Linked DNA regions of Saccharomyces cerevisiae S288C. The main gene of each other region encodes a partner of the protein of the gene in region 3 in a complex. Each region holds a gene or a part of one and is shown on either strand. Other genes may lie near its edges. A codon is read from its position in the direction of its gene.

Region 1 (4,520 bases), on a different chromosome or scaffold from region 3:
GATCAAAATCGAATTGACCTGCATCCTTAATGTTCCTGAATTTGCAGACCAATTCATTAGATGAAGACGAAATAATGTCACAAAACCCTTGGTTAGTTCTCAAGTAGTAATTCCCATAGGGAGATTTAATCAACTCGTAATTCGCTGGTGTACCTTGACTCATCCAGTGTCCATTCTTGATTAGAAAGCCTTGCATCTGATCTCCATTATTAATATTTGATAGACGAACGACTCCTCTGTATCTTGCTCCCTTATTAGGTCTCCTCCTGAAAGTTGGGACATAACCTTTTGGAAAAAACTTAATACCATCTTTTTTACAATTTGTTCGAATGGCAAGTGAGTCCATGGGCACAAACATTTCGCTCAAAAGGGAACCCTTCAAGTGGTTATAATACCATACTTCGTTTAAGGAATTATGTCTATCACAGCCTATGAAGACTTTTTTTCCTTCAAACTCTTTACTTAGTGCTGCCTCTATCTGCTCCAAAGAATAGGAATTGTCCACACTTGGGACAATATTATTTTTTTCTAGTGTTGAAAATGTGTCCAATTTCTTGAATAGATTATAAGTTATTCTAAAATAATCATAGACCGCTCTTTTTCTGTCAACACTATTAGCACCCCACTCAGTATAGCACTCTGGTCTAATTGTGCTAATGCACGTGCCATGTTTATTAAACTCGTGTATCCATAAGGACTCATGATTCCCGTTATTACTCTTCCAATATAAGTCTAGGTATTCAAGCAGCTTTTCGCCCGATATTTGCAGGGATGTATCATTATTATTAAATTTCTTGTCATGCAATAAGTAGTAAACATCGTCAATTTGTAAGGACCTATTACAGAATTGTTGGTAGCCACCATGACAATTATCTGGCCATAATCCGTGAATTGTAAATGAATCTAGAGGCCCTAACTCCTTCACTAATTCAGTTTCATTTAAATCGTTTTTGCTTGGAAAGTAATTCCAGAATTGGGTTTGTAAAAATATTCCACCTGGATATTCAAAACAACACGAGTTGTCTATATCAGTTTTATTGGAACATGATAATGGAATGTTTATAGGGCAGTTTGGTTCTATACCCTTATCTGCTCCATTCGAAAAAATTGGTAGTTGTAAGAGACTGTGTAAGTTTTTCAGTAACATTGACACAGTACTTTAGTTTGAAATATCTTAAATAGTTGGCCTTGCAATAGGTCGAAAGTTGAAGCGTTAATTATAAATTCGGTAGTTCCCCTACTTTTCGATAGGTTTGCATTTAAGGGATATTTTAGGAAAAGCTTAGATACCGAAATTTTGTTGATAGAGATGCAAAAGAAGAAAGAATGAAAAAGGAAAACAATTACTGCGCAAGAAAGACGCGTGTGTTAGCGCAATTGTTACGTTGAATGCATTGATATGTAGGGGCATATATATGTATATATACTTATTGTTTCTTTTTCAACTTTCTTTTAGCGAAATCAAGTACTTGAGAATTACCTTCCTTTGAGATGAAAAATTTCTTCTTTTTGTCGTCTTTCCACAACAAAACACCGATATCTTGAGCGTACTTACTTAGTAAGTTGTATTCTTGACTAGTCTCAAAATCAGAATATAAGGAACCTTCATATGTAATGACTCTATCTAACTCTAATTGCCATAATCTGATTTGATCTACGACGGTAGGAGGCAAAACTTGTAAAGGCTCCTTACAGTTGGGGTCCAGCTCTAATTTTTTTTCTAGTTTCTCTTCTGCCAACCTTCTCATTTGAGGATGTGCATGTGTCTCCAGATAGGCAATGATTTGGTCGGCAGTGATACCATTGGTCAATGCTCTTCTTATGGATTCCCTTGTTATTTGACCCAATACCATATTCACAAATCTTGCCTTTAAATGAACAAAAAGAGACAAAACAGCAATTTGCAGAGGTGAATTAGAATATGAATAGATTTTGAAATTTGTTTCTACAATCAATGAGCCATCGGGTATATCTTGATTTTTTAGACCTGCTTTGTTCAAATCATCTGATGTAGTGATATCTGTTGTGGATTTCCCGTTGGCGCCGTCTTCATTTACTGACGGCTCTTCTCTATTCTGTCTCAGTACACTATCCATCGCATTGGAGGCAGATCTGATTGTCTTGGTATCGGAAGTCAGCATCAAAGCTAATTTTGTTGGATAAAAAATGCTATCATTTGAATGCTTCTGGAATACCAAACCATAGTCTCGCATATCTTGTAACATAATTCTTTGTGTTTCGCTTAATGCATCGATTTTATAGGCTTTGCCAACTTCCAATGCGCCTAACATGAAAATAAAATGTAAAACATCGACTAAATCCATTTTGGACGTTTCGATCATTTTTAAATATTGCAATAATAATGTCCATAATTGGGAGTTGATTTCTTGTAAAAGAAATTGGAAGCCTTCATTAGTGATTTTGAACTCTCCAGTAGAGTTTACCTCTTCCATTAGTTTACTGTGTTTTAAAAGGTTCAGTACTTTTTCAGATGGGATTTTAGCGAGGGGAGTGCCAACCATGAAATGTAATATTGTTTCCCATTTATTAGCTGAATATTCATCCAACAAGTCCAGGCTAACTACGTTTTCCTCTACAACCACACCGAATGAGTTTTGAACTTCCCCACCCGTTAATGCGTTCCTCAGGCTGATTTTGAATGTTGGGTTTAGGTTGATCATCAAAGTACCAGATGATTTATTTGGTATAAGAAGATGCAAAGACTTCATCGATTTGATTGCATTCTGAAACTGCAATTTACCATTAGAGTTAACCCATTTATCTAAATCCAACAAAGGTACTTCATTTTCGTTGAAAACCATTGCCATGATAAAAAATTTAGCTAGTGGTGGTAAAATTCTATAGATAGCCAGACATGTAGCTGGTGAGGTATAAAGCCTATTTTGAACTTGTTGAGGAATTTCTTCCAAATACTGAGTGACCGAATGCTTCAGGGAATAGTCACTCATTATATTGTTCACTTCTTCCCTTTGATGGTGGCTTTTAATGCTAAGTTACTAGTATTGTATTCTGACGATGAAGTTAGGTTATATGTGAATATATGATGGTGCGTAATTTGCGCTACAACAAAAAAATACATTCGTTTTTTCAGTAATCGCGTACCTAATAGAAATGCAAGATGAATAAACGTTTTACGCATTTTTCATTGTGGAAAGATTAAGCTGTAGTCAAGTTTTAACCTAGTGCATAGTTCAGCCATTCCAAAATCTTTCCCTTCGCTATCATGCAGCACCTTATTCAATTTTTCCAGCTCCGCTATTTTTTTTTTTTCCAACTCTTTCAGCTGTTCATTCATTTGACTCTCCCACTCTTGTTTCTCAACTTCTGAAAGTTGTCTAAAGTCATCACTTTCCTTTATTTCACAGATTTGATCTTCCATACCGTTGTCAATCTGATATTCCAATCTTCTCTTTTTAGCCTCCATTTCTTTTTCTAGAAAATCTTTATAGCCGCCCATTCTATTGATTTTGATTAAAGTGGAATTTAAAATAAAAGACAGTTCCATCTCACAAATTGTCCTCCATTTTTCTATGGATTTTCTGTTCTCAATGATCTTGTTTTCGCTGAGAATTTTACAAGCCTGCTGTAAGTGATTATTTTCTTGCCTGAGAAGAGTAAGTTGTTTCGTTAACTCCCTATTTTTTATCGCAATTTCCTTCTGGTTCGTAGGCTTCTTCAAGTCCTTAATACCGCTTTTACCGACCCGATAGTTATTAGTGTCCTTTTTTGTATAAGAATGGTTGATGCAAGTATTTTCTTCTTCGTTCACCAAAGTTTTGTCCTTGTCTAGCCACTCTTCCTGATTGTGCATTACTATTAGATAACTGTAATTTGGTGCTTTTCCTGGAAAGTATACTTGTGATGTGGAAGTATTTTAAGTTCAAGTTTCTTGTTTTCTTTCCTATTTATGCGGAAGGTACATAGAAGTTTGGGCGGCTAATACTTTTTCCGCGGCTAATCCTATAGTAAAATGATCACTTTCATATAGAAAGTTGGTATATAAAGTGTCAACTAAGAGAGAAATAGTTCGAACCAGGTGTATTTTAAATCAACTATCGGGAAGTATGGACTGGTGGTATAATCGAATTACATAGTCCTTTTACCTTCATTAGTAGTACTTAAGTGTCACCCGCCTGGGGATTTTGCTCTCATAGAAGTAAAAGGGTAGTGCTATGGGAGCACATTAGGTAGTTCAGTTACGTTTTATGGCAGTCACTGTTTTCGCAAAGACTCCCAGACACGGGCATTAAAATGAAGTGCCAAACATGTCACTTACCCCTGCAACTAGACCCATCTTTAGAAGGTCTTAGTTTAACCCAAAGAAATTTGCTACTTTCAAATAATTCAATTATCACTGCAACGAATGAAAATGTCATCAGCAACAAGGGCATCGAAGCCGCAGATAATTGTGGGCCTCAAATACCGAAGGAGAGGCTGAGGCGATTAGGGGAGATTCAGAACATAAAAGACTTGAATTTAAAAGATGATAAATTAATCAC
Region 2 (5,774 bases), on a different chromosome or scaffold from region 3:
CACTAAGGAAGTTGAGGTGGAATACTTGCTAAGAAGGTTGGAAGAGTAAGCATGAAGGCTATCACGGTAACAATTCCACATTGCCGAGTGATTACTACGCATATATAAACACACACACTCACCATATATATGTACGCATAGTAGCATCTATTGAATATAAGAAGATAGAGTTTCAAGTTATACATTATATTGTACTATTTTCTTAAACGATGGCTCATAAATTCTATAGGAATTATCAACCCAATAACCTCATCGCTAATTCAAAAGTAGCAAAAGTGGCACCATTGGCGGGAGCAGCTCTTAGCATGGTAGGACCAAACCCTTTGAAAAAAGCGCCTATCCCTCCATTGGCATATAAAGTCTTGGCTACACTGGAAATAGAATTACCAAATTTAGGCTTTTGTAAATTATCCGTTTGCATGACAGACTTGATGACATCTAATGGATATACCATCAACCATAAGGCAGTGCCAGACAATGCTCCAAAAATACAAAGTTTCCATGCAGGAATGTCCTTTCTCTCTAGTCCACGTCTTTTGTTCATTTGGTTAGCAATCAACGCTTCATACACTAAGAAATATGTGCCACATCCATGACCTTCTCTCAATATTGTAGGTGTTAAACCACGTAGCAAGGCCTTGTTATGTCTTAATTTTTTGATGCATTCCAAAGGACCCTTGAATTCTGCGTTGGTGCCTGAGCCAGTCTGTGTTTGCAAGCGAATCCTGACATGCTCAATTGGGGACGCCAAGAATGAGTTTACTATACCGCCTGTGACACCACATGCGTAATACTGTGGCAATGACAAAGTCGATGACATATCAGCATTGCGATGATGAAAAAATCTCTTCATAGCTTCATTAACACCAAATTGTAATGAAACACATGCACCAACACCAATTAATGGCGTCAGAGTTCCTTTGTAAAACCCGCGAGGCCCTTCATTGGCAAGCAGCTTTCTGACGACTTCCATGGCTGTTGTTGGGGTGCTCGATGTTTGTAACCTAACTTTTGTCGTATCAAAGGGCTGGCCCACTAGCACTTGCGCAATACCACCCGCTGTACCTGCAAGCAAATCTTTCACGACTCGAGCATTATCATGCTGTGGATGTTCTTCCAAATCATCGATTAGTTGAGGAGATGGAAATTCTTCAGACATACTTCTTCGTGATGCGAATTTGATTGACGAGAAACCTAAACAAGAGAGCTGCGTTGGAGTATAGATGATAGTTGTTATTAGCTTATTGACATTGATTGATGCTATAGCATGGCTACATCATCGCTGACAATTTGCGCTCGAGTTTTCTTAGGGCGCCGCTTATCTTCGGCCTATCAGTAAATGTAAGAATGAGTCAATCAAAGTAATAACACTTTTTACTTCCTGTAAAAAACTACATAAGAAATTTATTTACATTATTCTATCAAGTCTTTTTGACCATAGTTCACTGCTATAACAGACACTGTCAGCTCAGTTATCGTCATATTCTCCACCGCGGCTGGTATCTCAACATTCAATTCCGCCATCTCCTTCGGGAGTGTTATTTTATTCTCATGTGCTTCAACTGGCTTCTTTTGAATCAGTTCAAGGCATTTCTTTCCAAGATCTCTCAAGATGCTTGTATATTCTGCCGTGACTCTTTCGGGTGTATGTACCAGTATGTAGAATAGCCAATCTTGCAGCCGACGATAATGCCTTCCTTTCTTGTGTATTTCTTTTATCCATGTATTCGACATATACTTGATCAGAACCCAAAGTTGCTTAGAGGTAATCTTTTCATGAAAAGTAGTATGCTGCGGTTCATTGTTTATAAGGTATTGGAACCACTGGTTGTATCCAACTAGTTCATGTTTATCTCCTTCAGTGATTACTTTTTTTACATCCTCAACACTGTCAATCTTGGTTTTTTCCAGCCGTACCAAAATATTCTTCGCCCATTCCTCATCAATCTGAAGATTTTCTTCCTTCTCTTCTGCCTTCTCAGGAAAGGAATGCTGATTTAGGACACTTATAATTTTTTCAACTGTAGTACATTTGCTGGGCATATCTTCGAGATAATTCTTTAAGAAAAGCAATAAAAGATCCAGTGTTTCGTCCTCATAACCGGTAAACTCGTAGGCATTAGTCAACACCGTCGCCTTCACAGAGTTAAACCACCTTACCCATATTTCTACATTCCTTTGAAGCCTAATCAAGGATGGCGAGATGGCGTGCCTTTTAAGGGCCCCCTCATCCTCATCATCGTACATGCTTGATTTGTGACGCGTCCTCTTTTGCAGATTCATATGATTCTTAATCGATATGGCGTTGGTTCTTAGTGCTTCTTGCCTAACACTTTTAAGATATTCAATGACATCAGGATTCACTGAAGAATCAGATAGTGCAAATGCACGAGATTGACCAAAGATGGCATCAGGCGCCTGGCTTTCTCCTCTTTTCATTGTTTATCACCTAATGTTTCTGTTATGATGGATGTTGGCAATGTTATTGTATGATACATTATCCAAAGCGAACTAATAAATCTACCGAAGCAACAACAGCGATGCACCCAGACAGTACATAGATAGTTATATTATCAAATTCGATATGATTGAAGTCAAAACAGTTCAAAGATGACACAACGTCTTAAGCTAATCACATCAAAAGCTTTTTTTTTTCTGTGGAATGTCCAATATACATGTGCTTAAAGCTAATTTTTTTTTATGTATTATTACGATGCATTGTGACGAAGGTTACCTGCTTGAAACGGATAATGTTCATTCCTTTCGTTCATGGTTTCGTCACCTTCTTTTTGGCTTTCAACCTTGGAACAACTGGTTTCCTCTTCAACTTGGCAATTACGTGCTCATCAAATTGAGAATCACAAGCAGGACATTTATTTCCGGGCGGTATGATTGATAAGACACATAGGCAAACTGAACAGATGAATCCAACGGCAACAACTCTCCCTGTTAAATAGCATGATGTCCTAAAATCTACAGATCCATGGTTTGGCTTAACAATTATAGGTCTTAACGACGGATCAATAAACATTGCAGTTGCTAAATATTGAATTAGCCCTTCTGTAGATTCAACATGTAAATAAACGCCATTTGTGGCATCCGTCGTTTGCTGTAAAAACGTGCTTTCCTTAGAACCACCAATCTTTACGACATCAATGGGACATTTCATTTTTGTTGCGGAAAAAATACAGTTCATTATAGGGATGTATTGGAAAATTTCATCTTTACTACTGCCACTCCCGCACGTAAGAACAAGTAGCCTTGATTTTAATGAGGTAGTTACTGACTCTTTTGATATTCTGTTTACATAAGTCAGCCCAGCTGACATGGCACCTGCTAGCGTGCTCCTTTGACTATTTTGTTCGATTTGTTTCTTTTCTAACTCAAATAGTTTATATATTTCTTCCACTAGCGTCTCATCAACGTTTCTAAAACGTCTATACATATCTGAGTTAATAATCTTAAGATCACTACGGGTTTTATTTTCAGATTCAGAGGCTTTTAGAGCAGATGTGCTCTCTGGGTATAAATATTTGATTCCCTGAGAGTATGCAGCAATGACTGCTACTTTGTTGGCGCTATTGAACGCTAAGTGAGCATTGAGAAATACTATCAATGCCTCTAAAACCTTTATTATACTTCCTTTCTCATTTCCTTCCTCATCAAAAGTTGTCCATAACTTTGGTGCAATTTCTATAATAACGGTAAGCAAAGATGGTGATTCTTCAGTAACCTGTTTTCTTGATCTAGCATGCTTAAACGTTGGATCAGATATTGCATCCATTTCTGATTGCTTCGCTTCAGTATATTTTATTGGATCGTGTATATTTCTACTCAAGTGTTGATTGATGTTGTAATGTTCCTTCAGGTATCTTTGAATTTCAACAGAACAAGACGAGCTGCGCGCTGAAAATAAAATAAAAGTGCAAGTGAAAAATATTGTAAAAATAAGGTAATTAAAAATATAGTTATTCGCTTATTATTGATCATTTTCATTCATTTATTTATCAAATTAATTTTACACAAACTAAAAATGTCATTTTTCGTTTGCAGTATGGACAGCATTCAATTTGCTTTTAAGTTTTCCAATCTTGGTGCGGGCTCCTTCTTTCGACTGCTCTTTTTCGAGGTTACTTAGTTTCTCCAAAGCTTCAGTGTACCTCTTATTGGAAGGTTTTATGGAACCCTTAGTTGAGCTAGTGCTTTGTCTCTTCAATTGACGATGCATTTCCTCGCTAAACTGCAGCCTCAATATGGTTTTCAAATCTTCGACAGAACAATGCGGTAATTCATTGTCTTTTATATATTCAAATAGTTCAGCTTCACTGGAGCCGCATAAAGAGTAAAAATTCATTGTGACGTTCATATTAATTTTTGATGGTTCAGAAGAAAGATTTCTATAGGCATGTTGTAAGACATTTACATTTCTCAACATTTTCTTTATCCCGTTATGGTTCAAAACTTTTATGGATTTGGCACCCTTAATCAAGGCGTAGTTGTTGACTATATCAAGACCAATAAATATGGAGTTTTTTTCCTTTTCTGGTAACTGTTGTTTCAATTTGCTTTCAGTCCTTCTTAATTCGGAAATTAGAGAAGCTATATTTTGATCTAATTCAATACTACCCACATCCATATTCCAAATTTTGGTGTTTTGAAAAAAAGACCCGATGTCGTATATACACAAGGCCCTAATGTTGAACCTCAGTATAGTGATTAGTTTGAATTTCAAGGTTTTGAATCCGTCGATAGTCTCATCAAATTTTTTGGAGGCTTTATCATCCAATAAAATTTTTAGATTTCCTAATGAATTTGGGCTGGAACTAGGGTTCGAATAGTTTAAATCCATTGATTCAGAAAATGTCCAGCTGCTCCTTAATCTATCAGCATCTAACATGGGTTCTTGGCTTACTTCATCAATATTGATAGCCTTTTTTAAGCCTGGCAGCCAGTTTAATATCCATAACACGCTTGCCGAAAACTGCAGAATTGTGTCCAATGTCAAGTTATTGAATAAATCAGATTTGCTCAAACCTTTACCCGCTTGATAGAAATGAGGTATTTCCTTAAATAACTCTATGGATTCTTCATGAAAGAGTGTCTCATCCCCATTCAGAATTTTTTGTTCTTGATCCATCAAAATACCATTCTGCAACCATGCCGTAATTATTTTCCTAGTTAAATGTCTATCAGAAGTACCAATCAAGGAATTAAATAGCCCCAAGTAGTAATTATAAAAATGATTCAAAAGATCTAGAATGCAGTACGATATTTTTTCTCTAAATGTGTTTGCTGTGTTGAAAACATTCAATAAATTGTAAAATAACCTTTGAAAATCTAATGCTGTTTTAAAAATGTTATGATTTTCATCGGATAGCTCTAAGGCGTACGGATTATTGGATTCTACTTCAACCGTGAATAAATAATCCATAGTCATCTGAATCTTTGGGAGAAAACTTTTATTCATATAATCATCGAAAAAGGTTAGGGATGAAATAGTATTTTGTGTTAAGACACTGGGAACAATTGTAGATGTCGATTGCGTAAACAGCAAAAACGGATCTAAAATTACCTTCATGTTGAAAACAGAAGGAGGGACTAGAGGCTCATCTTGTTCGAAGGATTCATCTTTTACATAAATAGAGTCTAAATCCATGTTTGAGGAGACAGAAAATCCAGGGAATATATCTTTCAACAAAGCCTTTAGTTCAAAAGCTTGATCCTTTACAGAAGAATTGTCCTCAATGTTATACTCCAAAGAAAAAATTTTAGGA
Region 3 (8,396 bases):
AAGAACAAGATTTATATTTGTAAGGAATGCCAAAGAAAGTTCTCTTCTGGTCACCATCTTACAAGACACAAAAAATCCGTCCACTCTGGTGAGAAACCTCATTCTTGTCCCAAATGTGGCAAAAGATTTAAAAGGAGAGATCACGTTCTGCAGCACTTGAATAAGAAAATACCGTGTATTTCAAACGAAACAACAGTAGATGCTCCAATAATGAACCCTACAGTGCAACCGCAGGACGGGAAAGCGGCCATTAATCAACAGAGTACACCTTTAAACTGACTCACGATTGCCAGTTGTTTACCGAGATCTCTCATTTTGAAGGCTCTTAAAATGTGCTCGGTCGGCCGGGAATTCGCGAAAACCCACATTCACTAATAAATACCATTACAATAACCATCATTATATAGATACACATGTGTAGAAAAGGATAATATACGTATATATATTTGTTTGTAAATCTTTAAATTTTCAGGAACAGGGTTAGCAAGCATCAATGAAAGCAGACGCGAAACAAATAACACATCTACTCAAACCTCTTCGACTTTTATTATTGGGGGCTCCAGGGTCAGGTAAAGGGACACAGACTTCGAGATTACTAAAGCAAATTCCACAATTATCTTCAATTTCGTCAGGCGACATTTTACGTCAGGAAATAAAATCTGAATCTACCCTAGGCCGAGAGGCTACTACCTACATTGCTCAAGGCAAGTTATTACCGGATGATCTCATAACGCGTCTGATAACTTTTCGTCTTTCGGCATTGGGTTGGTTAAAACCATCTGCCATGTGGTTGCTCGATGGATTTCCTCGAACTACTGCGCAAGCTTCTGCCTTAGACGAGCTGCTGAAACAGCATGACGCCAGCTTGAATCTAGTGGTAGAGCTAGATGTACCCGAATCCACCATATTAGAAAGGATCGAGAACAGATATGTTCACGTTCCTAGTGGGAGAGTGTATAACTTACAATATAATCCTCCCAAAGTGCCAGGATTAGACGATATCACCGGAGAACCATTGACCAAGAGGCTTGATGACACAGCGGAAGTGTTTAAAAAAAGGCTAGAAGAGTACAAGAAAACAAATGAGCCTTTAAAAGATTATTACAAAAAAAGTGGGATTTTTGGTACCGTCTCTGGGGAAACATCAGATATTATCTTCCGAAATTATTGAACCTTATAACCAGCAAATTCGGCTAATAGGGTGATTTAACGCTACACTAACTGCAAGTATATGTTAACCTTCCCCGAGACTTTGAAAAACCGTGACTCTAGTTGGAAGTCAGCATCTCGTCAACCAAATGATTACAGTTCACTTTGAATATTCTGAATAGCCTTTATGATATGAGTTAATCCTATATTAATCATGGCCGACGGCATTTAAGCGATGTATATGAAATTTATGAAAAATTAAAGTAGCGTACTTTATGCTACATAGCTTTTGAAAAGAAATCTCTGGTCTGTAAATAATAAATAAATATATATATATGTATATCTTAAAGTTGACAAAGTACTGTTAGCCATTCATAGAAATACTATATTTCATCTTGGGTTGAAGGTGATAATCGGCCCGATTTGACTACACTTTAAGAAGATTGGAAACAATGAAGTTTTATATAGATGATTTACCAGTGCTTTTTCCATACCCCAAGATATATCCAGAGCAGTATAATTATATGTGCGATATTAAAAAGACTCTGGATGTAGGTGGAAATAGTATCTTGGAGATGCCTTCAGGAACAGGTAAAACGGTCTCATTACTATCCCTCACAATTGCCTACCAGATGCACTACCCAGAACATAGAAAGATCATATATTGTTCTCGTACTATGTCTGAAATTGAAAAAGCTTTAGTAGAGTTAGAGAACCTTATGGATTACAGAACTAAAGAACTAGGCTATCAAGAGGATTTTCGAGGTCTTGGCTTGACATCAAGAAAAAATTTGTGTTTGCATCCCGAAGTGAGTAAGGAACGAAAAGGTACAGTAGTCGATGAAAAGTGCCGTAGAATGACAAATGGGCAGGCGAAGAGAAAATTAGAAGAGGATCCAGAGGCAAATGTAGAATTGTGTGAATACCATGAGAATTTGTACAATATTGAAGTAGAGGATTATCTTCCAAAAGGCGTATTTTCTTTTGAAAAACTTTTGAAATACTGCGAAGAAAAAACACTTTGTCCATATTTTATTGTTCGTCGTATGATTTCTCTTTGTAACATTATTATTTATTCTTACCATTATCTATTAGATCCTAAAATTGCTGAAAGAGTTTCCAACGAGGTTTCTAAAGATAGCATTGTCATTTTTGATGAAGCGCACAATATTGATAATGTGTGTATCGAATCGCTGTCATTAGACTTGACAACGGATGCATTGAGAAGAGCCACACGAGGTGCTAATGCGTTAGATGAACGTATTTCTGAGGTCAGAAAGGTTGACTCACAGAAATTACAGGATGAATACGAAAAACTAGTTCAAGGTCTCCATTCTGCAGATATTCTTACCGACCAGGAAGAGCCATTTGTGGAAACACCTGTATTGCCCCAAGATCTTCTAACAGAAGCAATCCCGGGAAATATACGAAGAGCCGAGCATTTTGTTTCATTTTTGAAAAGATTGATAGAATATCTGAAGACCAGAATGAAAGTTCTTCACGTTATTTCAGAAACGCCAAAATCATTTCTACAGCATTTAAAACAGTTAACTTTCATAGAAAGGAAACCTCTTCGGTTTTGCTCAGAAAGGCTATCATTACTTGTAAGAACTTTAGAAGTTACAGAGGTAGAAGATTTTACTGCATTGAAAGACATAGCAACTTTTGCTACTCTTATATCAACATATGAGGAAGGGTTTTTACTAATTATTGAACCGTATGAAATCGAAAATGCTGCAGTTCCGAATCCGATTATGAGATTTACTTGCTTAGATGCATCGATTGCCATCAAACCAGTCTTTGAGAGATTTTCTTCCGTTATTATCACTTCAGGGACCATATCACCATTAGACATGTATCCAAGAATGTTAAACTTTAAAACTGTTTTACAAAAATCATATGCCATGACCTTAGCCAAAAAATCATTTCTACCAATGATTATTACCAAGGGTTCTGATCAAGTTGCAATTTCTTCAAGATTTGAAATCAGAAACGATCCTAGTATTGTTCGTAATTACGGTTCTATGCTAGTAGAGTTTGCCAAGATCACACCTGATGGAATGGTTGTTTTTTTCCCCTCATATCTATATATGGAAAGTATTGTTTCAATGTGGCAAACAATGGGTATTCTTGACGAAGTTTGGAAACATAAATTAATTTTAGTTGAGACTCCTGATGCTCAAGAAACTTCTTTAGCCTTAGAAACCTATAGAAAGGCTTGCTCAAATGGGCGTGGGGCAATTTTGCTTTCTGTTGCTAGAGGAAAGGTATCTGAAGGTATCGATTTTGATCATCAATATGGCAGAACTGTGCTGATGATAGGTATCCCGTTTCAATACACAGAATCGCGTATTTTGAAAGCTCGCCTAGAATTCATGAGGGAGAACTATCGCATCAGAGAAAACGACTTCTTATCTTTCGATGCGATGAGACATGCAGCTCAATGTCTGGGGAGAGTACTGAGAGGGAAGGACGACTATGGTGTAATGGTACTAGCAGACCGTAGGTTTTCAAGAAAAAGAAGCCAGTTACCAAAATGGATTGCTCAAGGTTTGTCTGACGCCGATTTGAACCTTTCGACTGACATGGCCATATCCAATACCAAACAATTCTTGAGAACAATGGCACAACCCACAGACCCTAAAGACCAAGAGGGTGTATCTGTTTGGAGTTATGAAGATTTAATAAAGCACCAGAATAGCAGAAAAGATCAAGGTGGATTTATTGAAAACGAAAACAAAGAAGGAGAACAGGATGAAGATGAAGATGAAGATATAGAAATGCAGTGATGCAATGATACGCTTTTGCTATAAACTGTATATATCACAATTAGATTAAATAGCCGCAAGAGAATGTTATATATTGAAATCCATTCGATTATCCAGGACTAAACAATGATTTTATTTCACATTTATTTCAAAGGACAACTCTTTATCTGCGTCAAGATATGAATCACAGACACACCAAATTGTTAAGTTATGTTTACCAGATGTCGGAGTGTCAAATTCCAATTCATATTGCTGAGTCTCTTTATTTAAAGTAACTTTCTTGATCGCATAAAGCTCTTTTTTAGATACTTCACCTAAAACCAACCACCAACTTTCTAGCTTATCAAACGGATACTTTTCAGATGTTACTTGTAAGTTCTCAGGTTCAACATCTCTTGTCAATTGAATGGTAATTTTCTGTTTTACACCTGAAATTAACGAATCAGAATTATTCAACGAATAAGTAAGTTCAACGTTGGGGTAATTGTTAACAAACGCGGCGACCTGCGCAAGCTGTGAATCAGTAAGCGTTAAAATTTCATCCCTCTCTTCATCCTCAAGGGCCATTATATCATAGACCGTCTCGACGTTAATTTCTTTACATTTTTCCAAAATTTTGTTGTTGAAGTGTGGAATCTGTCTCAACGGATTATCAACGTCCCATACACCCTGAATCAACATCTGCGCCAAATCCATGGCGGTAGTAGCATTCAAATACCCGTTTGCTGAAAGGATATCAACCACTACGTTAATTAGTGGAACAACCTTTTCTAGAATGTCTTTTAAATCATTTTGAAAGTCGACAGGTAATTCAAGACGTGAAAAATATGCTTGTAACAATAAGAAAACTTTAAAGCTCACCGAACCAGAAGAGGTGTGTTCAGGGAATCTCAATGGTAGTCTTTTACTTAATTTGACAAGTAATGCTCTGTCTCCTTTTCTGAGTGGAACACTTTCGAATTCTACTGCTGTTGAAAGAACATACAGCATGTTTTTGAGCGTTGACGTATTCGATAAAGAAGAAACGAATGACTGAATAGTAAAAAATGATACGCCATAGTGAGAAGCAATTAGCCCGTTGCTCAAGGTAGAAATGATTTCAGTTGCTTCATCATCTCCTCCATTAACTTCTGCGGTTACTTCAGCTTCTGTATCGTCAATTTCAATGAAGGATGATTCAACTAAGTCATTCAAACAAGTTTCAACTAAATTACTCAAAAAAACTGAAATTCCATGTGGAGACGTATCCCTTACGCCATAATAGCTTGGATTCACATGGATACGACGATAGAAATACGAATATGTAAACCAGTCAACACAATCTTGTTTGCTTTGTATAATAGAATTTGCTATCTCGTTGTTCAGAGTATCATGAATAATATACTGTAGGTAACTCTCAGTAGGCAAAGGCTCAATTAAGAATTTTTTGTAGTAGGCCTTCATGTTGTGACTTGTCAAAATTAAAACCTTGCCTGCCATTGAATCGTTACCACTAGCTAGTCCCACCATTTCTAGAAGTTCATTTATGGTATATGGCATATATTTATGCTCTGCACCATCATAAAGGTTGGTTCCTAAAATAATCACTTCATCAGTTTTACAAGCGAATGCAGAACAATCCTTAGAAATGAGTAAAACCGATACCGCACCATATTCGTATAACCTTTTCACAATTCTTTCATCATTTGATGCCATCCCCTTATACAAAATACCAACACCGTGTTTTAAAGGTGCTCTTAGATGACCATCTGTTAACTTTTCAATGTATGGTACAATTTGCTCTTCTTCAACGTTCAACATATCCCATTCAATTGCTTTTGAAAACTTCATAAATGCAGACGCAACTTCCATACAATCCTTTCTAGATGGTAAGAACACCGAACTGGAATTACGATTTCCCGCTGCAGCAGCAGATGCTTCAAATGCCATTTGAAGCATCGAAAAATTGAATGATATGTGCTCAACATCTTTAAATGACTGAATATTAATTTCAAGAGGCTCAATTCTTTCGCTTGGAGAAAAGTTGTAGATGTTTGACTTCGTCATACCAGCCCATTCACCAAAATCACGAGCATTTGCCAAACAGTTCGAAAGGCAAACAAATCGAATTTTCTTTTCAAGTTGGGTTGCTATAAATATCATTCTAGAAATTAGCGTTTCATACACAGCACCGTAAACACCTTGGCTAATCTCATGAGCGTCATCATATATCATTAATTCTAAACTTTGGATGTTCTTCCTTTGTCTCCAACGACGTGACAAAAGCTCAAATTGCACGGGGGTAGCCAAGAGAACATGGCTTTTTGCTAATAATTTTAAATTTAGTGAAGGATCATTTCCTAGCTTATTTATTATCTTACCACCAGCAAGATGAGAGAACCTTTTATTCCAATCAGATAGCAAAAAATCAATTTTTTCCCCAGACGGATTGATATAAACCGCTCTTCCTTTATTCTGTCTCCAATGATTTAACAGTGCTAATTCAGCCATAGCTGTTTTACCTGTGCCCTTTCCTGAACCTACAAAGACCGAGTCATTCGAATTGTAGAGAGACTCGAAGACCTGGCTCTGAATCTTGTTGAAAGTTTTAAATTCAAATACTTCGGAAAAATCATCATTGCCAAGCTCTGATGTTGAAATACTAATATTCTCCAGAAGGGGAGTAGGAGGAGGAAATTTTTTCGGAAGTTTAAATCCATTGAAGGAAACTGGAATCTCGAATTCACTGTGCCACCAATTTTCTGATATCAAAGTAAGGAAGAAATTAGGTGGTAAGTTATTTTGATTGTGCTGCTTTAACTCATAAGTAAAGGATAAGGTAAATTCATGACCAACTATATCTGGAGTGATGAATAGTACGTCATAATAAAGTATTGAATCACCATCAGTGTCTTCTAGCATGAGCAAAAAAGGTTCAAGGGAACCGTGTACATTCATATCCCATATCCAGTCGGCTATTATTTCAATGTTGAACCTCATAACGCTACGGGTAATTGGCTGAGCGTTGCATGTTACGGACATTTTGGGAAATCTTTTCAATAAATCGTAAACCTGTTTTCCATATTTTTCAGATCTGATTGCACGACCAACTTCGGCAGGTGTTTCTAGCTGTAGATAATCTCCCCACGGTACTGTAGAGGCTTCCAGCCTTTTAATCACTTCGACAGGGCATGTTTTAAACTGTCTTAAAGGACAGTTTGTTGGCCACATTTTAGTTGTGGCAGATTTGCAAAGATTTAACAACATCCGTGTGGGATGTCCCCATCCTCTCTTCAAGCATATTTCAAACATAGCACGCAATAACCTACCAGCATTTTGGTGAATAAACACTATATCAGAATTAAGTGCAAAACCTTCGAACTTTAGCTGGGAAAAATAAGACTGCAGTAGTACATTCACTTTTGCTAAAGGATCATCAATATCTTCTCTGATAGGAATGGGTGCTTTCTCTAGAAGTTGTTTTAGTTCTCTTTTCTCTTCATATCTCACCGATACGTACTTAAACTCTTCCGACATTGAGAATATTCTAAAAAGATCAATCTGAGTTGTATGTTCATCTAACTCTCTATTGTAAACATCCATGGAAGCATGATTTATGTAAAATGACGACGCTATATTTCCTAGATCGGTCGCCTCAATTACATCATTTTCAGCATCATATAACACCAACTCTTGTTCTTTTAAAATGCATAGGGCCGAATGGACTAAGCTTTCTCTAAACTTTTTCAATTGCCCATCACTTGAAATATCAGGTACTTTGTAAAGCATAGGGGAAGCTAACATTCTGACATATAGGTAAGTATACGCCAACCAATTCACAGCATCATTCCTGCACTTAATGTTACCCGCGACAACTTCTGCATTTAAGTTGTCAACTAATTTTGAAACAAATTGCGATTCTATTGGTAATTGTTGATTTAAAACCGAGAGATAATATTGAACATTCGATTGGTCTGTTATTATAATACCCTCGCCAAATGTGTCATATCTCGGTCTGCCTGCTCTACCTAACATTTGAAGTACATCTTGTGGAGAAAGTTGTTCCCAGGACCCCTTTTCAGGTGAATAGACATCTGTTCCTTTTATAATCACTGTATGAGCAGGTAGATTAACACCCCATGCTAACGTCGCAGTGCATACCAATACTTGCAACAACCCGTCTGCAAATAAATCTTCAGATAAGGATCTGTCACTTCTGGTCAGCCCTGCGTGATGCGTCCCTATACCGCTTTCAATCAACTTTCGTAGACTTGGATCGAGTACGTTGGCTGCTTCTGTCTTTAAAATCTGCTTCGATCCTGCATCATTTTTGGTTAATTTATGAGTAATGTTCTCTTCAGCAAATTTATTTTTCAACCATGTTGCTGTTCGTGATGTTTCTTTTCGAGAATGAACAAACACGATTATTTGATTACCTTCATTGATGGATTCCAATACCTTTTCATAACAAGCATCATTCATAGCCTTCAGCTTTTTCAA
Region 4 (8,184 bases), on a different chromosome or scaffold from region 3:
AGTGTTTCGTTATGGGGAAACATCCACTCTCTCCATTGAGTGGTCACATTGTCGCAGAGGTCGTAGAGGATCATTTTTAGCAGGGTAATATGGTTGTAGAACCATGAAACGGATCGATTAATAAATATTCTGTAGTTTTCCATCTCTTTCACCGCATGCAGGATGGTGTAGTTGTGGAATCTTCTTTTGTCTCTTGATTGGTCTCTCCAAAATTCGAAAAGGGCAAATAACGCCTTTCTCCTTTGCCAGGTTCTTTTGGATTCCCGAAGTTTTAAGCCTAGACCAACTAGTTTATTCTCCCACCTGAATTCCATCAAGAAGTACTCCAAACTGTTAACGTATTTCTCTGTCAGCGTTGTCTTGCTCAAAATTTCAAAGGCAAGTTCCGTCTCTTCTTGAATATCAGGCTTGAAGAAATGCGCATTCATTTTTTCATGCTTTGATTTAGCAGCATAATCCTCCTCATTGATGCTAGAGTTGATCAATTCCTCTTCTTTCGCCTTGAATTTAAATTCCAGGTACGCTCCTGTGGTAATGGGAACGTCCGGAATATCTCTCCGGTAGAAGAAGCCTTCCCGGCAGATTAATTCAATGGGAGTTGCCGTTAACAATGTATTGCGTGACTCTGTACCCAAACCGAGGTTTCCGTTGCCATTGCTACTATCGTTAGCAGACTCAGTATCGTTATGGATAGATGAAGTACCTTTGGATAAATCTGCGGAGATGTCTCCTGAGACATTCTCCACGGTGGCCAGCGTTCCGCTATTACCAACACCCCTTTCTCCCTCATCTTCTTCACCTTTTGTATGATCTTCTGTGCGTCTCTTCTTTGGTGATATGCTCGTATTCTCTGTTTGATCCAATGCACCGTCATCGCCTGCTGTTCTTTTCCTTATCGTGTCCGAAGGTTGTGAGTTTTCTAATGGAACGAACGTGGTAGTTTCTTCATCTCCCGGGGTCTTTCTTTCATATTCTGCATTCTCCTTGGTAATTGCCTCTTCCCCAGAATTTAGCATGGACTGTATTCCAACTTTGTGAACCGTATCGGCAGCGGATATGGTTAGACCCATCTTGAGAGAGTCGCTGTTTGCGTTTGAGCCCTCATTGTCAATATCGACGAGTTTTTCTTGCTCTAATGGTTGATATCCTTCCTGTTGGTGGTCTGAAATGCCGCTGATGGAGGCCGATCTTGGTTTTGGCGACATTGAAGAACCTTTAGTTGTTGGTTTTTCTGCACTTTTTATCTTTGAACGGGTGGAGATCTCATTCAAATTTAAGTTCAAGTGATTATCATGTATTATCGAAGTCATTCTTTTCCTCCTCTCTTCTTCTTTCATTGCTTTTAAGAGTTTCTTATTAGACTCCATAAATGACTTTGCTTTATCGCGATCGTTATATTTCATATTAACAAGCATTTTCTCCCTTGAATCACGTCTTTTATCTAATTCTCTTTGTTGTCTATTCATCTCTGACGTAACCGCCGCAGCAGCGGCAGCTGTTGCTGCTGCTGGAGAGGAAACGGGTGGTAATTTGACCGTAATATTACCGCTGGCGTCATAACTTAATGAAAACTGATCGTTAACCATTAATCGGCGAATATCACTATTGATATCTGAATTAGCTGAAAATTTAATGACGTTGTCAGTATTATTATTATTGGTCGTATTATTACCACTATTTTCGCTGGATGATTTGATGGTTATTATTTTCTCCTTCTCGGTTTTATTTTCTTCAACATTTACCTTTCCTTCCACGTTATTATGAACAGTATCAGTAGTATTCGAATCCTCTGCGTTTGGATCACCATTAGTTGAAATTAGAGAGGCCAGTTCTAAACTTTTAATGTCTATTTCTTGTGTGGCTGACCTTGAAGTCCGAACCGGAGCCGGTTGTGACACAGGATTGGATGGAGATGATGGTATTTGATGAAATTTGGAAGATGGAAGCAAGGAATTTATTGGAATCTCGTTTTTAATCCGATTAGATGCATCTGACTTATCTATCGTATCCGTGGAATTGGATATCATTGTTTCCACTGTTCTCTTTTTTGGGGGCCTGCCTCTTTTTCTTTTGATTTGAATTAAGTTGTTCGGCGTAACAGGTGTTGGTGTGATGGAGCTAGAATTAGCAGTGGATGGTCGCTCTTTACCATTTTCATTGTTCGTTCTTTGCGGTACGGAAGTCAAGGACATATCAGCATCATCTCTTGATGATGAAGGGGCAGATAATAAAAGCGACTCTTGTTTCGTTGATGGTTCCACAAAATACCTTTTGGATTTAGACGTTTGTACTACGGCAGTCGGTAAAGTAATATTTACTGGTGAGAAAGGAGCACCCTGATTGGATGCACTTTTGAGATTGACCGAGGCTGCGTTTGACACTAACTTATTCATTGTGGAGGTCGAGGCATCTTTTCTTGGCCTGCCAGGTCCCCTTCGAGAAGAAGAGGTATTATGCTGTGAACTGGTATTGTTGGATGAATTTTCTATGAGAAGGTTAGAGTGATTTACTTTCGAAGTATTTTGCAACATTGTCGATAATTTGTTCAATCGTTCATTCAAATTATTGACCAATATGTCAGTATTTACTTGATTCTTCATGACATCATCCAGCTTATTTTCCAAAACTGATTGGTTGTGTGATAAAACTTTTAATGAGTTAAACAAATCCTGCACAGAATCAGTGAGGGAAGTGTCTTTGGAAAGCAAAGCCGTCTTCAAATCGTTGCATTGTTTTGTGACTTTGTCCATACCCTCTTTTAGGGCTTCAATAGATGAATGTGGAAAGGCCTCGGAATCTTTTATATGAAGCGGATTTGAACCAAAACCAGAGCCAACTTGTCGTTTTATATCAGAATCATCACTGACTGGTATGTCTGTGATGGATGGCAAAGCTTTAGCGTTCGCATCTGTATCTAGCTTCCTCAAACTATTAGCTTGATTTTGAGCACTGGTAAGTGCTAACGTATCTACGTCATCTTTGGGTCCAGACGGAAGTCTCTGTTCATTGGTTATGTTATCAGAAGGGGCTGTGGTGTTCTCAGACATCCCCGCAACAAACGAATTTTGTTAATTATGTATGAAACTTTTCGTTTGATCTCAATAATACCACTAGCGACTAAATTTTTATGATACTTAGCTACTTTAAACAAGTCCCTTGTGCTCTGTTTGCTGACACTTTTGATAAAATATGCCTGTGTATAATTCTTTTAGCAGTTTATTTCAAACACAAATGGTATTAAAAGGATAGATGAAAAAAAAAAAAAAATTAAAGCCACTAGTAATGATACAATCGTGGTATCACAAGCGCTGAATGAAACAAGTGTGGCTATCTATAGCGGATGCAAGTGGAGAACTTGTGAATCCAAACTGAAATATTTTGCCATCATTTGTTGTCCTTTCCCTTTTCCATTCAGGAAAAAAAAAAAAAATTTGACGTCGCCGTCGCGTCGCAGTCATATAATTACAGCAATTTATCTTGTTGAACGACGCAAATTAATGGAAATTGTGACTTACATAGTAAGTATTAGTAAACGTAGTTAAGGCCACGTGGGAAAGATATGAAAGGAGTGTAAGTAATGGATATCGGTCTAACGAAAATGGAAACCAATCTTTAAAAATGATAGTATGATTCGACAGTAAACTAGAAAAGCCACAACCCGTGGGACATGATAAGGCTGCTCGTTTTTGACGCAATTTTTAGACAATACTGAAATTTAGCATAATAAGCTTTCCCAGTGAAAGTAATAATATTTAACCTAGGGTAGGGGTAGGGAAAAAATAAAAGTAAACCATAATGTCACATTCCGGAGCTGCCATTTTTGAGAAAGTTTCTGGGATAATTGCCATAAATGAGGATGTTTCACCCGCAGAATTGACATGGAGGTCTACGGACGGTGACAAGGTTCACACAGTTGTCTTATCCACTATTGACAAGTTACAAGCTACCCCTGCTTCCAGTGAAAAAATGATGTTGAGGCTAATCGGGAAAGTGGATGAGTCAAAAAAGAGAAAAGACAACGAAGGAAATGAGGTTGTGCCCAAACCGCAACGTCATATGTTTTCGTTTAACAATAGAACAGTTATGGATAATATCAAGATGACCCTTCAACAAATCATCTCACGGTATAAAGATGCAGATATCTACGAAGAAAAGAGAAGAAGAGAGGAGTCTGCGCAACACACAGAAACACCAATGAGCTCTTCTTCTGTTACTGCAGGGACTCCCACACCACATCTCGATACACCACAATTGAATAATGGGGCTCCGTTGATTAATACAGCCAAACTAGATGATTCTCTCTCTAAAGAAAAATTGTTGACCAATTTAAAGCTACAGCAATCTTTACTGAAAGGAAACAAAGTTCTAATGAAGGTTTTTCAGGAAACAGTCATTAACGCCGGTTTGCCTCCATCTGAATTTTGGTCAACTAGAATTCCGTTATTGAGGGCTTTTGCCTTATCTACTTCTCAAAAAGTTGGGCCTTACAACGTTTTGTCAACTATCAAGCCGGTGGCTTCATCGGAAAACAAAGTCAATGTTAATTTGTCAAGAGAAAAAATTTTGAATATTTTTGAGAACTATCCAATTGTAAAGAAAGCTTACACTGATAATGTGCCCAAAAATTTCAAAGAACCAGAGTTCTGGGCAAGGTTCTTCTCTTCGAAGTTATTCAGAAAATTAAGGGGTGAAAAGATCATGCAAAATGATAGAGGTGACGTAATCATTGACAGGTACTTGACATTGGATCAAGAGTTCGACAGAAAAGATGATGACATGCTATTGCATCCTGTGAAAAAAATTATAGATTTAGATGGTAACATACAGGACGACCCAGTTGTACGAGGCAACAGGCCCGACTTCACTATGCAGCCAGGTGTGGATATTAATGGTAATAGCGATGGTACCGTGGACATCTTAAAGGGTATGAATAGATTGAGTGAAAAAATGATTATGGCTTTGAAGAATGAGTATTCAAGGACAAATCTACAGAACAAATCTAATATTACAAACGATGAGGAAGATGAAGATAATGATGAAAGAAATGAACTGAAAATCGATGACTTAAACGAAAGCTACAAGACAAACTATGCAATCATACATCTGAAAAGGAACGCACATGAAAAGACAACCGACAACGATGCGAAAAGCTCGGCAGACTCGATAAAGAATGCAGATTTGAAGGTTTCTAATCAACAAATGTTACAACAGTTGTCATTGGTCATGGATAATTTAATTAATAAGCTAGACTTGAACCAAGTAGTTCCTAACAACGAAGTCAGCAACAAGATCAATAAAAGAGTCATAACTGCAATCAAGATTAACGCCAAACAGGCTAAGCATAACAATGTTAATTCAGCACTCGGCTCTTTTGTCGACAACACTTCTCAAGCAAATGAATTAGAGGTGAAAAGTACCCTACCAATAGACCTATTAGAAAGTTGTAGAATGCTACACACAACGTGCTGTGAATTTCTAAAGCACTTTTATATTCATTTTCAGAGCGGTGAACAAAAGCAAGCCAGTACCGTCAAAAAACTTTATAATCATTTGAAGGACTGTATTGAAAAGCTGAATGAGCTATTTCAAGACGTCCTTAATGGTGATGGTGAATCTATGTCAAACACATGTACCGCCTATTTGAAGCCAGTTTTGAACTCCATTACTTTGGCTACTCATAAGTACGATGAGTACTTCAACGAATATAACAACAATTCGAACTAGAAATATAAAGGCTCTCCAGTTGTTACCACTTTTTACATTCATATTTTTCATCTATTTACTGCATGTTACATATTACATAAAACTTAATTGTGTGTATTCTTCCTTTTTGGTCTTTAGTCTCTATGTAAACAATAGAAAAACGCGGGACTCGATTAACGCTGTGCTGCACTGATGCAGCCGTGCGTGTAAATAAAACATTTAACGTGAAAACGCGCGCGAATGGCTTGTGAAACAAACAAGAAACAAACGGGAAATATTTCAGCATGTGATGTGGCTGAAAATTAGCAAACGATTCGTCAAAATAAATCAGTAATGGTGCTTTAGTTCTATTACAGCTTGCTAATGGTTCAGTAATATTTTCAAAAATTTTGCCAAACAGACCTAAGCACTTGCAATACTCCAGACTGTTAGTTCAGTCATTATCTATCATCTTGGACGATTTTGCAATTTTTTAGTGTAGATGCATCTCATCGACGGGCTTGTATGAATGATATTAAATAGGCAAAATAAACTAGTCTAGCTAATATTCGACTAAATTGCAGCTGCTAGGTCACCATCCCGCACATACCTTAGATATTTTGGAACTAATGGCTAAAAGAAGGCAGAAAAAGAGAACGCATGCGCAGATCACACCCGAGCAGGAACGAGATATTCCTAAATCCATGGTAATCAGAGTGGGACAAACTTCATTGGCTAACCATTCTCTAAACCAATTAGTAAAGGATTTTCGCCAGATCATGCAACCGCATACGGCCGTAAAACTAAAAGAGCGCAAGTCCAATAAACTGAAGGATTTTGTTGTTATGTGTGGCCCATTAGGTGTTACGCATCTTTTCATGTTCACTCAATCTGAAAAAACAGGAAATGTCTCGCTAAAGATAGCTAGAACTCCACAAGGTCCTACTGTTACTTTTCAAGTATTGGACTATTCACTGGGTAGAGATATCAAAAAATTTTTGAAGAGACCTAAATCGTTAAATAATGATGATGTATTAAATCCTCCATTGCTAGTGTTAAATGGGTTTTCCACATCGAAAAGATCTGATGAAGACGATCAGGATGTAAACGTGGAGAAGGTTATTGTTTCCATGTTCCAGAATATTTTCCCACCTCTGAATCCTGCAAGAACTTCGTTGAATTCTATCAAACGTATATTTATGATCAATAAAGACAGAGAAACGGGGGAAATTTCTATGCGCCACTATTTTATTGACATTCGAGAAGTAGAGATCTCTAGAAATCTAAAAAGGCTTTATAAAGCCAAAAATAATCTAAGTAAAACAGTGCCGAATTTGCATCGAAAAGAAGATATTTCTTCTTTGATATTAGATCATGACTTAGGCGCCTATACATCAGAATCTGAAATTGAAGATGACGCTATTGTGAGAGTGGTTGATAATCAGGACGTGAAGGCAAAACATTCTCAAACTTCGCTGTCGCAAAAAACACCCGTTAAAATGACAGATAACGAAGAACGTGAAAAAGGAATTGAAGAAGAAGATGTGGAAATGGAGGAACCTAAGCCTTCAGAAAATTCGCAACCAACTCCACGTAAGAAGGCTATCAAACTGACTGAATTAGGACCAAGATTAACTCTAAAACTGGTCAAAATAGAAGATGGTATTTGTTCAGGTAAAGTATTACATCATGAATTTGTTCAAAAATCAAGCGAAGAAATCAAAGCCTTAGAAAAGAGACACGCTGCAAAAATGAGGCTGAAGGAACAAAGAAGAAAGGAACAAGAAGAAAACATTGCTAAAAAAAAGGCTGTTAAAGATGCTAAAAAGCAACGTAAATTGGAAAGAAGAAAAGCTAGAGCAGAAGAACAGGGTGAAGGTCAAGGGAAAGATGGTGCAATGAGCGATGATGGATCTTCATCGAGTGAAGATGAGCATTATAGTGATGTACCAGAGGATTTGGATAGTGACTTATTCAGTGAAGTAGAATAATGCACGATATGTATATATATCCTCCGTACGTAACATCACTATCCATATAGTAGCCATGACTCCGATGGACTTAAAGAACCAGGAAGTGTCTGTTTATTCATAGGTGAGGGAACACCTCAAAGTAAATATTAATGAATATATAAGATCATAATTAAACAAATATATAGAAATCTTTTACAATTAAAGAAAAAAATAAAAGAAAAGGGAAGTTAAAACTTCGATTATTAACAGCTGAAAAATTAAACTTTGTAATGAAAAGCAAATTGGGAGTTATCGTTAAAATACGGCATCATGGAAAGGACAAAAGTTCCTTTTAACAAAAGCATGTCCATTTCCCTTCTGGGCTGCAGTCATTTGCGCCCTTTTGTGAAACCAGTTCTTAATACACTTATAATGGAAAACACACAAGCATTCTAGTCTCCCAACTTTCTCACCGGGTTCCATATTCTCAAAACAAATCGGGCACTCCTTAATTGCATTATCTGTTGTATTAGGCGATATCTTGTACACT

What was found.
Region 1: RAD3 (region 3) and TFB2 share a complex: the UniProt entries of both Saccharomyces cerevisiae proteins name them as parts of the 7-subunit TFIIH core complex.
Region 2: RAD3 (region 3) and TFB4 share a complex: the UniProt entries of both Saccharomyces cerevisiae proteins name them as parts of the 7-subunit TFIIH core complex.
Region 4: the proteins of RAD3 (region 3) and TFB1 are in contact, whole or in part, in a cryo-EM structure (PDB 7K01), measured with the Saccharomyces cerevisiae proteins. Residues at the interface, in NP_011098.3 of Saccharomyces cerevisiae: Thr75 (codon at 1,824), Met76 (codon at 1,827), Ser77 (codon at 1,830), Glu80 (codon at 1,839), Lys81 (codon at 1,842), Thr109 (codon at 1,926), Ser110 (codon at 1,929), Lys112 (codon at 1,935), Asn113 (codon at 1,938), Arg124 (codon at 1,971), Gly126 (codon at 1,977), Thr127 (codon at 1,980), Phe178 (codon at 2,133), Leu182 (codon at 2,145), Ser209 (codon at 2,226), His211 (codon at 2,232), Tyr212 (codon at 2,235), Asp215 (codon at 2,244), Lys217 (codon at 2,250), Ile218 (codon at 2,253), Glu246 (codon at 2,337), Ser249 (codon at 2,346), Leu250 (codon at 2,349), Asp251 (codon at 2,352), Glu308 (codon at 2,523), Lys400 (codon at 2,799), Asp401 (codon at 2,802), Glu426 (codon at 2,877), Arg436 (codon at 2,907), Tyr544 (codon at 3,231); in NP_010597.3 of Saccharomyces cerevisiae: Tyr231 (codon at 4,486), Asn232 (codon at 4,489), Pro239 (codon at 4,510), Val240 (codon at 4,513), Leu296 (codon at 4,681), Arg297 (codon at 4,684), Leu329 (codon at 4,780), Leu330 (codon at 4,783), His331 (codon at 4,786), Val333 (codon at 4,792), Lys335 (codon at 4,798), Ile336 (codon at 4,801), Ile337 (codon at 4,804), Asp338 (codon at 4,807), Leu339 (codon at 4,810), Asp340 (codon at 4,813), Gly341 (codon at 4,816), Asn342 (codon at 4,819), Ile343 (codon at 4,822), Asp345 (codon at 4,828), Asp346 (codon at 4,831), Pro347 (codon at 4,834), Val348 (codon at 4,837), Val349 (codon at 4,840), Arg350 (codon at 4,843), Gly351 (codon at 4,846), Asn352 (codon at 4,849), Pro354 (codon at 4,855), Asp355 (codon at 4,858), Gly370 (codon at 4,903).

The regions. Positions count from the first base shown.
Region 1 is NC_001148.4:317,799-322,318, forward strand, and holds TFB2 (TFIIH/NER complex subunit TFB2), read right to left. Parts: upstream 2,970-4,520; coding exon 1,428-2,969; downstream 1-1,427. Other genes in the region: RNY1 (ribonuclease T2), read right to left, coding at 1-1,147; MEI5 (Mei5p), read right to left, coding at 3,164-3,832; VPS30 (beclin 1), read left to right, coding at 4,273-4,520. UniProt on the Saccharomyces cerevisiae protein: Component of the general transcription and DNA repair factor IIH (TFIIH) core complex, which is involved in general and transcription-coupled nucleotide excision repair (NER) of damaged DNA and, when complexed to TFIIK, in RNA transcription by RNA polymerase II.
Region 2 is NC_001148.4:669,136-674,909, reverse strand, and holds TFB4 (TFIIH/NER complex subunit TFB4), read right to left. Parts: upstream 3,785-5,774; coding exon 2,768-3,784; downstream 1-2,767. Other genes in the region: chorismate mutase ARO7, read left to right, coding at 1-49; YMC1 (organic acid transporter), read right to left, coding at 236-1,159; BRR1 (Brr1p), read right to left, coding at 1,414-2,439; exocyst subunit SEC8, read right to left, coding at 4,037-5,774. UniProt on the Saccharomyces cerevisiae protein: Component of the general transcription and DNA repair factor IIH (TFIIH) core complex, which is involved in general and transcription-coupled nucleotide excision repair (NER) of damaged DNA and, when complexed to TFIIK, in RNA transcription by RNA polymerase II.
Region 3 is NC_001137.3:525,481-533,876, forward strand, and holds RAD3 (TFIIH/NER complex ATP-dependent 5'-3' DNA helicase subunit RAD3), read left to right. Parts: upstream 1-1,601; coding exon 1,602-3,938; downstream 3,939-8,396. Other genes in the region: RPH1 (Rph1p), read left to right, coding at 1-279; adenylate kinase ADK2, read left to right, coding at 494-1,171; ATP-dependent RNA helicase BRR2, read right to left, coding at 4,050-8,396. UniProt on the Saccharomyces cerevisiae protein: ATP-dependent 5'-3' DNA helicase.
Region 4 is NC_001136.10:1,081,270-1,089,453, forward strand, and holds TFB1 (TFIIH/NER complex subunit TFB1), read left to right. Parts: upstream 1-3,795; coding exon 3,796-5,724; downstream 5,725-8,184. Other genes in the region: SUM1 (Sum1p), read right to left, coding at 1-3,047; SSF2 (rRNA-binding ribosome biosynthesis protein), read left to right, coding at 6,312-7,673; PIB1 (phosphatidylinositol-3-phosphate-binding ubiquitin-protein ligase), read right to left, coding at 7,950-8,184. UniProt on the Saccharomyces cerevisiae protein: Component of the general transcription and DNA repair factor IIH (TFIIH) core complex, which is involved in general and transcription-coupled nucleotide excision repair (NER) of damaged DNA and, when complexed to TFIIK, in RNA transcription by RNA polymerase II.